Linked DNA regions of Arabidopsis thaliana. The protein of the gene in region 1 interacts with the protein of each later gene in a pairwise test. Each region holds a gene or a part of one and is shown on either strand. Other genes may lie near its edges.

Region 1 (4,821 bases):
CTAGAATGAAGGGAGCTTAAAAATGGCAAACCTGAAGAGCTGGCTTAGTGGGGATGCGGAAAGTAACGACAGCAGGAGCACCGTAGAAGACTCCTTTAACCTTGGCCTCCAATTCGATAGAATGAGACAGAATACCTCCTCTGCACAGCAAATATTAGATTAGTGACGAGAGTAAAAGCTAAAGCAGGCCAATATAAGATTTTATGATTGAGGAAGAAACTCACGCATCAAGTCTTTCCCATGATTTTGAAGTGTTTCCATTAACAACTTCAAAAGTCTTTTTATCCCAGCTATTATCTGTCAGAGTCACATCATACGCCGACCTGAGAGCAAACACCACAAATATCTGACGCTTTTAGCTGACATTCATTAAAAATCTCAAAGTCATCGTAGCCGGCAGATACAAAATTCACAAACCAAATCCAAAATTCCGATAAACAATGAGATCAGATCAAATGGCGTTTCGTTTAACTGATACGCATACGGTAGATCTAATGATAGCTCAAGCATAATCTCCTAATTCTACATTGACCAATCTCTCCATGCAATCAGAAATTAACACGGATCGGAAATGAAAATGGAGAAATCAAACGGATTCGGGAAATAACTAGATGAAGGATAGAGAACTAACGAGGATCCTTGGTTATAGATGTCGTAGGAAACGGAGACGCGTTCGGCGCCAGATTTGAGCCTGTTGAGAGTGGCTTTCTTGTGAACCACCATGAACGGCACTTCCGAGGTCGCGAACGAAGCAGAAACAAGCATGAAAACCGCCATGGCGGAGATCAGAAGCTTAGCTACAGCGACGGCCATGGTTTGCGATCTACGACGATGTAGGTGTTTAAGCAGATGCGGAAATAGATCTACGAATGTTTTCTTCAGCTCAAGAAACCTCCGACGACGATATTAATCACCACCACCACCACCCATTAACAAAAAAAGTCAATGATGGGCCCAATTGTTTTTCACCTGATAATGGGCCTACTTATAAAAGCCCATTCTAATAATAAAGTGTATTAATATACCGTCCAAATTAAAGAAGGGAAGTGTGTTTGCACTTGCAGTAGAACAATGAAGATAACACAGCCTGTCTCCTGCCACAATCTAACATGTTTCTTTTCCCACACCACATTTCGATTGGATCCAAATATTCTCTAATACTTTTATAATCATAGATGACTTTGTCTATTAATTATCTCGTCTAATTATAAAGTCTACTTAAGATGTAATAGCCAACGATTCATATCATTCAAAAGACATATTGACTCGAATCAATGGAGGTTTTGTTACCATAATCTCATTTTCATTTCTAACAATCTTTTGGTTGGAGTAAGAAAAGAGGGTAAAAACTGATAAAGTTGATTTGATTCAATTAATCAAGGTGGCGGGAAAGTTAAGGAAAGAAGTCAACGAGGAAGGAAGTACTAAAACTAAAACAGGAGAGCCAATAAAAAGTAGGCAAGTGGGTGGGGACATAGAATAAGAATTCACAGCTACCCGTAAGAAACATAATTAAAACTTGGATTAAACCGAAAGGCATGTGATTTTCCTTTGTTGGTTAACTAAATCACGTATATCTATCGTTGAATATAAGAGCATGTGGAGGGATTTGCATCGAACTCTGAAACCTGAGTAAATCTTCTCTTCCCATCATCACATGCTTACTTATCTCTTCTGGTTAGCTCTCTGAGATTCTCTCTTCCAGATTGTTCTTTTTATATTTTACTTAGAGCTTCAAAATTAATCCGGATCTATCTGCTTCAGGTTGTTCCAAAACATCCTTATTTTGACATATATATATGTCAATGTTGTGTAGGATGATTTTGTGAGCAAAAGATCATAGCAGAGAGAGAGAGAGAGAGAAAGAGAGCATGGGGTGTGCTCAATCTACTATTGCTGTTGTGGGAAGGAAGAACAAGAAGAGGATCATTCAAGAATCTGTAGTGTTTGTTCTACAGTTCCGTGTTCCTGTTCAGTCTGATCTTCAGCGCCAACTCAAAGGTGTTTCTCCCAAGACAACCATCAATCGGTTGACATGTTTAAGAAATCAGATTGAGTTGGTAGCTGAGGACACAGGTATAGAGAAATTAGACCAACTTCTTCCTCTTTTCTTGCGTGTCAAGACATAAGGTTCCATCTTTTCTACTGCAGGGGGTTCAGCCATCTCTGAGTTGCGTACAGCTTTGGAGGAGTACTTGTCACTTCTATCCGGTCTTATCAAGAAAAGTTCGTGTTTGCAAGTTTTGATTAACTTAAACAGTTTAGTATATTCAAATGGTGATATTAGAATATTTAACTCTACAGGTAAAGATGGAATGGAGGGCTGCGTAGAGCTCAAATGGAGGACCCTTGGCGATGGTCGACGAGTAAGTTCGGTTTTTGCTTAAATTAAGCTGATCCTAAGGATATTCATTTTGTTTGTTCTAGTATCATTAAAATCTTAACAATGTGAAGGGTGTATACAGGCAGAGATATGTTGCACAAACCTTTGGATGGAGATGTTGATAGTGATCCACATGATGGCTGCTTTGGCATTGACTGAAGCTAACTCTCTCATGATTCCAAAGGATTGCTATGCTTCTGGTTCTGGCAATGGCGTCCGTGTGGTCTCCACTGGTGTGGCCTCGTTGACTTTCACACTTTTATTTTAATTTATTGTGTTTACAAAAAACTAATTAACCTGTCACTTTCAAACAGATTGCAGGAGAGATGCGGTTGACTTGCTGCTCAAGGCATCTGGATACTTGGAGTTCTGCGTCCGAGAGATTCTGACTCAACTTCCTCATGATATAAAGTATGAAGCACAAATACATAAATTCTAGGATCACATTAATACTTACATATCTGAAAATTTGCTATATGTATGCAGGAGTAAGTTGCCAGATGATATGCAGGAAAGTGTATTACAAACTCTCTCTATACAAGCACTAGGCCAGGTTACACACATGCTTACTTTGAAACTGTGACTCCTAAACCTGAATCTTGTATATATGTTTTCAATTTGTAAGTTTGGTTGAATCTCACTGCAGGGAACTGAGATTCAACTTGGATTAGCAGTTGATAGTCAGAAAGCAACATTGTCTGTGAAGAGGAGAATTGCATGTGAGCAAGTCATCTACTTCACTCAGGTCCTCCTCATAGTTTAACAATCTTCAGCTTCTTATAACTGTGGCATGCTTTCGGGGCAATCATATGTCTTTTCTCTGTTTTAATTATTAATTTGCTATAAAATGATCTCATTATCATTTCAGGCATATCACTGCTTGTCTAGTTGTGAAGCAGTTAGCCATGGATGCGCCAAGAAACTTCTCCGGTTTATCTACTGGAAGTTTCTGGAAGCAAAGGTATTGTATGTGTATGTAAGCTATTGTTGAGAGTGATCCGATATATATTCATCTCTATTGTTCTTTCATAAAATATATCTCTCTATTATGTTCTGCTTTTTTCTTAACAGGCTGCAGCATACTACTACCATGGACTGGTAACAGACAAGGGAAGTGAGCCGGCTTGTCACTTGAGCGCTGTGTGTTGTTTCCTTGCAGCTGCAGAGATCCTAGGAGAAAGCAAAAAAGCCTGTCTTAGCTTCTGCTTAGCTCCTCCTGTCACAAGGTTTGTGTTGTTGTATGATATCCTACATGTGAATTATGAATGATTCAGAATTATTTTGTATCTATCAGGGCTCCTCCTATGTGGGGTGTTATGAAGCATTTGAGCCAGAAGATTCCAGAAGTTGCTTTTAGAAAGTCGCAGACATATGGATACTTGCTTGAAGAAGAAGAAAAGTAAGTCGTTAAGAGTGTTTTCTTTTTTTGCGTTTGTTTTAACGAATCAAACAAGATAGGTGATGATATGATAAAACCACAGGGCAATGCAGTGTTTGCCAGAGCTTCCAGACTTTCAGTTGTCATTGAGACCCGACGACTTTGAACTGCCTGAAATAGAGGATGTCTCTTCCTCATGAAACCAAACCCATTTGCTTAGAGAACATCTTGAGTTCTTGACTACTAGCTACTCATGTTGATGATGATGACCTTGATCGTTGAGAAAGAAGCACTCTCTCTACACATATTCTTTGGGTATTTTACCACTTATAATTGTAATGTAATATTTTGTATTCTTGTCAGACAAAATCTGATACTTGAGTATAGAGTAATGTAATATCTGGGTGATTACTTATCTTCCTTGATAAAGAATTTGGAAGGACTAGAAGAGAAAGAAAAAAAACAGCTGCTAATTAATAAAGGAAGCGTTTAGCTATGTTGGAGAAGAAATGTTGTTGTGTGAGGAGCTAAAAAACGGCCCGCATTTTAAATTGGAAACAGCAGGATAACCGCAACGTCACGTGAGTTAGTCACGTGTAAGTGATGATGACATGTTCGATTCCACACGTACAATAAAAGAAGTGGTTGTTGTGTGAGGCGCTTGGAAACGGCACGCAGTTTAGTAGTCTTAATTTGGAAAAAAGCGGAAAAAGCAGAATAACAATAACGTCACGTGTGGGATGATGATGAGATGTTGGATTCCGCACGTACCAACTTTGTAGAGGCGGTAAGGGATTTTGACGGCGGTAGTGCTAATGATCTCCGACACAGACATGATCGGATTTTTTAATCTCCCAATTAAGGTGACGGCGATGAATGATAAAACGCAAAAACATTCCGATTATCACTCGTAACGGTGATGATCGTTAATTCATCAAAATCTGCTGTTTTTTTTGTTCTTCCAAAAATGCATCATCCATGAAAGATAAAAGTATCATCAGAAACTTAAAATCGAAACGATCATCATCATCGTCATAAGTAATATCCAAAAAAGGTAGCA
Region 2 (5,156 bases), on another chromosome or scaffold:
TTCGCACCAGGCTGTAGCAATTAGGCCAGACATGTCTAAGGTGGTCCAGATCTTGGGTGGTGATCTGCAGCTTCCAGATAATCTACTCGATATAGTCAAAGCAGAGAAGGTCAGAATGTGGTCTGAGACATCTGAGAGTGTACTTGGTGTTTTGACATCACAAGGGTCCATTGGTACCTTGACGTTAACGGAACCTTTTACCTCCCGGGGACGCTGAGACGTGATGCTGAGTTCGGTCGTGAAATGATATATGACATGTTTGTTTGTAAATATTTTATGTTTTCGATTGATGACAAAGGAGTCAGAAAGGACACTTGACCATCACGGAAGCGATGACTTCCGTCGGACGGTAAAAAGTGATGGTCGAGGTTTGGTGAGAAATCTAAAAATGTGACGGTGTTTGCTTGATAAATATCTTTATTTTGGTGATTGTATTGAATGTATCGTTTTGATTTCTGTTTATACTTATATCGGCGGTGGAATAATTACACATGACCTGAAAAGTATGCGTTTGTGTTTACTTTTATGTTGTAGTACTTGTTGTGTTTTTCAGCTATGAAAAGTCTACATATTTCTTCTGTGTGCTAACTTATTGGATAAATTGGATATTTTTAAGAGATCTAATGTTTACACAAACGTATGGTGAACACCAATGGGGATGTTTACACACACTTATGATTTATGACTGAAAGAGATGTTAATCGAAGTATATACTCCATTGATTAATGTTAATCACCGAAAGAGATGTTAAACAAGCATTAATGTTTACACTTAAATGTGATGGAACGAAAACAAAGAATAAGTTTAAATTTGTTGTCATGGTCTCAATGAAAAACCGAAAACGTTGTGCTATCAAATTACTCAAAACGTTGAGCTAGCTAAACTTGGCAGAAAAGTATCGAATGATGCTAAAATGCAAAAAACCATTAAACCCAATGTACGGTTTATAGAGTTTTCATATGCCAAGTGGGACATCCACGTGGAGATCCTATGCCACTTGTCCCCTCTCTGTCTCTTTCATGCTTCAAACTTATTTGGCTTTTACGTGGATTCTCACGCCCGAGTACGTCGATTATTACAAAACTCACATAAATTAATATAAACACTTTATATTTTGTTTTGACCTTTTTACCCCTTCTCATTGCTCATCAATTTTCATAGATCTAATACCAAATTATCACACATATAGGAGAGTCATCTAACAATTAGCACAAGTCATGAGTGAAAGAGACTAAGCATGAATCATAATCATCTTTGACATAGGTGCTCAAAAGTAATCAATTTTTTCAACTTTACTATTCAACTCAATAAAAGAATTTTTAATCAACAATTCTTTTCAAGATGTATCCCTTTTTTTTCTTGCAACTTTTTCTCAACTATATTAATATTTAGTATACTGCTACTTAGCTACTCGATGTTTTGATGTATCATTGATCATTATTGTTGACTAATAATTATTTGATACAAATATTTTACCGACATATGTAAGAACAATAGTGTCAAAATTGAAGCATCTCAAGGGTATTTTAGAACAGATACCCAATTTATTTATTTTTATAATTTGTCACCTTGTTTTTCACACACAAATGACAATATGACGTCATTTTCCTTATTAGAATAATTTTTTTAACAAAAAAAAGAATTATTTATTTTCGTCTCTCTTATTGCTTGCTACGCTCAACGCTGTGCATAAGCATTCTCTTTCTGTGGACGAAACTAAACCTGAGAGAAAAAGCCAGAAGAACCAAACTCAGACCGAGAGATAGAGATTGAGGGAGAGCTCTAGCTCTGTAGAAAAGAAGGATTCATTCATCATATCCAGAAATGGCTCTAAAGTTTAACCCTTTGGTGGCATCTCAGCCTTACAAATTCCCTTCCTCGACTCGTCCGCCAACTCCTTCTTTCAGATCTCCCAAGTTCCTCTGCCTCGCTTCTTCTTCTCCGGCTCTCAGCTCCGGCCCCAAGTCAGTCTCTTTCTCTCCATCATCGTCTCTCTTATCTACTTTCGATTCTCTCTGTTTCATCTTTGTTTACTGTGTTCTGGGTTTTGCTTGTTCTTATCGATATTGGATCTACGTTTTCTCGATTTTGTTCAGTGTTATTTGCTTACATTTGCTTAATCTCGAGTGTGATTTCAATAAAAGTACGTTCTTTTAATCTGGGTTTATAAGAATGGGCCATCCTCTGTTCTCAGGTGATTCATTAATGCTCTTTTTCATTGAATCTGATGTTTGTTGATTGTTCCCTATTATTCTCACGTTTCTCTGAGATTGCCCCATCTATCAAATCGTTGCCTTTACCATATTTATTCTGCATCAGATTATGTAGATTGCTCGTTGATTGGTTGTTAGTTAAGATTAACACTAGTTATCTTCTTTATGGTATAATGATCTTTAGATTGGTTAAGACTTAACAGACATTGAGGAAAGCTTCTTAGTCAAAGAGAAAGTTTTGTTTTGTTTTCTCTGGTTTAGTAATTTTTAATGGTGAAATGTTTATCCACTTGTTTCTTACTCATTTGATGAGTTTTCTCTTTTGTATTGACAAGAGATTCTTGAACGTATCAGTTTACGTCTGTTTATCTTTCTTCAAAGACATTACGTTGGATATCACGCTTCGTGGCCTTTCTCTATGCATGCGTACTTCGTGGCTTCTCTCTTTAGTTTGCGTCCAAAATTTTCACACTTTTCTGTAATTTATTATTCATTCTTTCTCTGTTTTGAAGACATTTGGCTCTTTATCTTGTCTTTGTCTGATCAGTAGTCACTACATTTGTTTCTTTCACAATCTTTCTTTTTTGCTTCATATTGAACTGCAAGACCAATCCATGAATGCAAATATAAAATATTGTCTTACGGTTAACCATCTCTAAGTGTTTGCTAGTCATGAATTGTGAAATTGTTTCGCTTCAAACATAGAATTAGTTGATTTGGAAATGTAGACATGAATGCTTATCTAAATACAATAAACTGTGTTCTTGTTTCAGTTGTGTATCAGAGATGAGACCTTGACTGGTAATTTCAATGGAGCATAATTAAATGCTAATGATACTTATTTTCTGGTTAATGCAGGGAGGTTGAGAGTTTGAAGAAACCATTTACGCCACCCAGGGAAGTGCATGTTCAAGTCTTGCACTCCATGCCACCTCAAAAGATCGAGATCTTCAAATCTATGGAAAACTGGGCCGAGGAGAACCTTCTGATTCACCTCAAGGATGTGGAGAAGTCTTGGCAACCCCAGGATTTCTTGCCTGACCCTGCATCAGATGGGTTTGAAGATCAGGTAAGAGAGTTAAGAGAGAGGGCTAGAGAGCTCCCTGATGATTACTTTGTTGTTTTGGTGGGGGACATGATCACAGAAGAAGCACTTCCGACCTATCAAACTATGTTGAACACTTTGGATGGAGTTAGGGATGAAACAGGTGCTAGTCCTACTTCATGGGCTATTTGGACCAGAGCTTGGACTGCAGAAGAAAACCGACATGGCGATCTTCTGAATAAATACCTTTACTTGTCTGGTCGTGTTGACATGAGGCAGATCGAAAAGACCATTCAGTACTTGATTGGATCTGGAATGGTGAGATAGTTTCAGGCAATTATCATGATTTCTTGGTTAATATAACTACCTAATCGCTTTAACTTATCTTTCATAGGATCCGCGGACAGAGAATAACCCCTACCTTGGCTTCATCTATACGTCATTCCAAGAAAGAGCGACATTCATCTCTCACGGAAACACAGCCCGCCAAGCCAAAGAGCACGGGGACATCAAACTAGCCCAAATATGTGGCACAATAGCTGCAGACGAGAAGCGTCATGAAACAGCATACACCAAGATAGTTGAAAAGCTCTTTGAGATTGATCCTGATGGTACTGTCATGGCTTTTGCAGACATGATGAGAAAGAAAATCTCAATGCCTGCTCACTTGATGTATGATGGGCGCAACGACAACCTCTTTGACAACTTCTCTTCCGTGGCTCAGAGGCTCGGTGTTTACACCGCCAAAGACTATGCAGACATTCTTGAGTTTCTGGTTGGTAGGTGGAAAATCCAGGACTTAACCGGGCTTTCAGGTGAAGGAAACAAAGCACAAGACTATTTATGCGGGTTGGCTCCAAGGATCAAGAGATTGGATGAGAGAGCTCAAGCAAGAGCCAAGAAAGGACCCAAGATTCCTTTCAGTTGGATACACGACAGAGAAGTGCAGCTCTAAAAGGACAAAGACAAAAACAAAAACCTATCCTCCCGGTTCCTCATTTCATCTGTCTGCTCTTAAAATTGGTGTAGATTACTATGGTTTTCTGATAATGTTGGTGGGTCTAGTTACAAAGTTGAGATGCAGTGATTTAGTAGCTTTGTTTTTCCCAGTCACTATATGTTTGGTCTTTGGTCCGTTAGCACACTTGTAGTAGTTAAAACAGTTTAAGTATGGTCTGTACTCAGTCTTCCTCTTCTCTGTGGAGTTTTGTTTAAGTTCAGGTTAGTTTTGTTTTGTCTCTCTGTTTTTTCCCCTGTTTCTCGACAAACAACTCATGTGGCTTTTTAGCAATTTTGATGGATGATCATGATGAATAATTGAATATCTTCAATGTCAGTTTACATTTAACTAATTGGTCAATGTTTGACGATCATGCTTAATGCTTATCTCTATAAATTAATGTAAAGTCAATAATAATGAAACCCTTGACAAAAAAAAAGTGAGAAGTTGATAGATTTTGAAAGAAGAAACAGAGACGGCTGTTGAGGTAACTTCATGCTTGAGCCAGACTAAAGGAGATGATAATGTTCGTAAATGGGCCCAATTTAAAAGAGGCTAGGCCCAAATAAGGTAGTGTTTCAGAGATGGGAGGCGGTTGAAGCTACCTATGAGAACTTGGGGAAGGAGTAAAAAAATGTTCTCTTTTTCAGTCTTTTTTTGTCTAATTTTTTTGCAAGTAAAGATTCCAAACTTTTTCGAGTGAATCATTGTGAGAGCAAAGTTGAACTAATAAATCAACTCGCCGGGAAAAAATGGATCAAACGGCGGAGGAGAAGATGGTGAGAGAGAGGATTAGAAAGAAAGTTAACGAAGTCAGTTCTGCGTCGCAGTCTCTTCTTTCTCCAGTACAAGACCACATCAATTTCACCCTTCAAGTTCGTCTCTTTCTCTCTCTCTC

Evidence for each region.
Region 2: the proteins of AT5G14020 (region 1) and SSI2 interact in a protein complementation assay, tested with the Arabidopsis thaliana proteins (one large-scale study listed by BioGRID).

The regions. Positions count from the first base shown.
Region 1 is NC_003076.8:4,522,870-4,527,690, reverse strand, and holds AT5G14020 (Endosomal targeting BRO1-like domain-containing protein), read left to right. Parts: upstream 1-1,523; 5' UTR 1,524-1,871; coding exon 1,872-2,076; intron 2,077-2,151; coding exon 2,152-2,226; intron 2,227-2,304; coding exon 2,305-2,366; intron 2,367-2,465; coding exon 2,466-2,616; intron 2,617-2,697; coding exon 2,698-2,794; intron 2,795-2,869; coding exon 2,870-2,936; intron 2,937-3,029; coding exon 3,030-3,128; intron 3,129-3,251; coding exon 3,252-3,344; coding exon of another isoform or gene 3,345-3,374; exon of another isoform or gene 3,375-3,454; coding exon 3,455-3,609; coding exon of another isoform or gene 3,610-3,652; exon of another isoform or gene 3,653-3,677; coding exon 3,678-3,782; intron 3,783-3,864; coding exon 3,865-3,961; 3' UTR 3,962-4,270; downstream 4,271-4,821. Other genes in the region: AT5G14030 (translocon-associated protein beta (TRAPB) family protein), read right to left, coding at 32-140, 225-323, 632-813.
Region 2 is NC_003071.7:18,118,283-18,123,438, forward strand, and holds SSI2 (Plant stearoyl-acyl-carrier-protein desaturase family protein), read left to right. Parts: upstream 1-1,590; 5' UTR 1,591-1,824; coding exon 1,825-1,964; coding exon of another isoform or gene 1,965-1,968; intron 1,969-3,071; coding exon 3,072-3,576; intron 3,577-3,652; coding exon 3,653-4,213; 3' UTR 4,214-4,607; downstream 4,608-5,156. Other genes in the region: AT2G43700 (Concanavalin A-like lectin protein kinase family protein), read left to right, coding at 1-217; AT2G43720 (FAM136A-like protein (DUF842)), read left to right, coding at 5,011-5,133.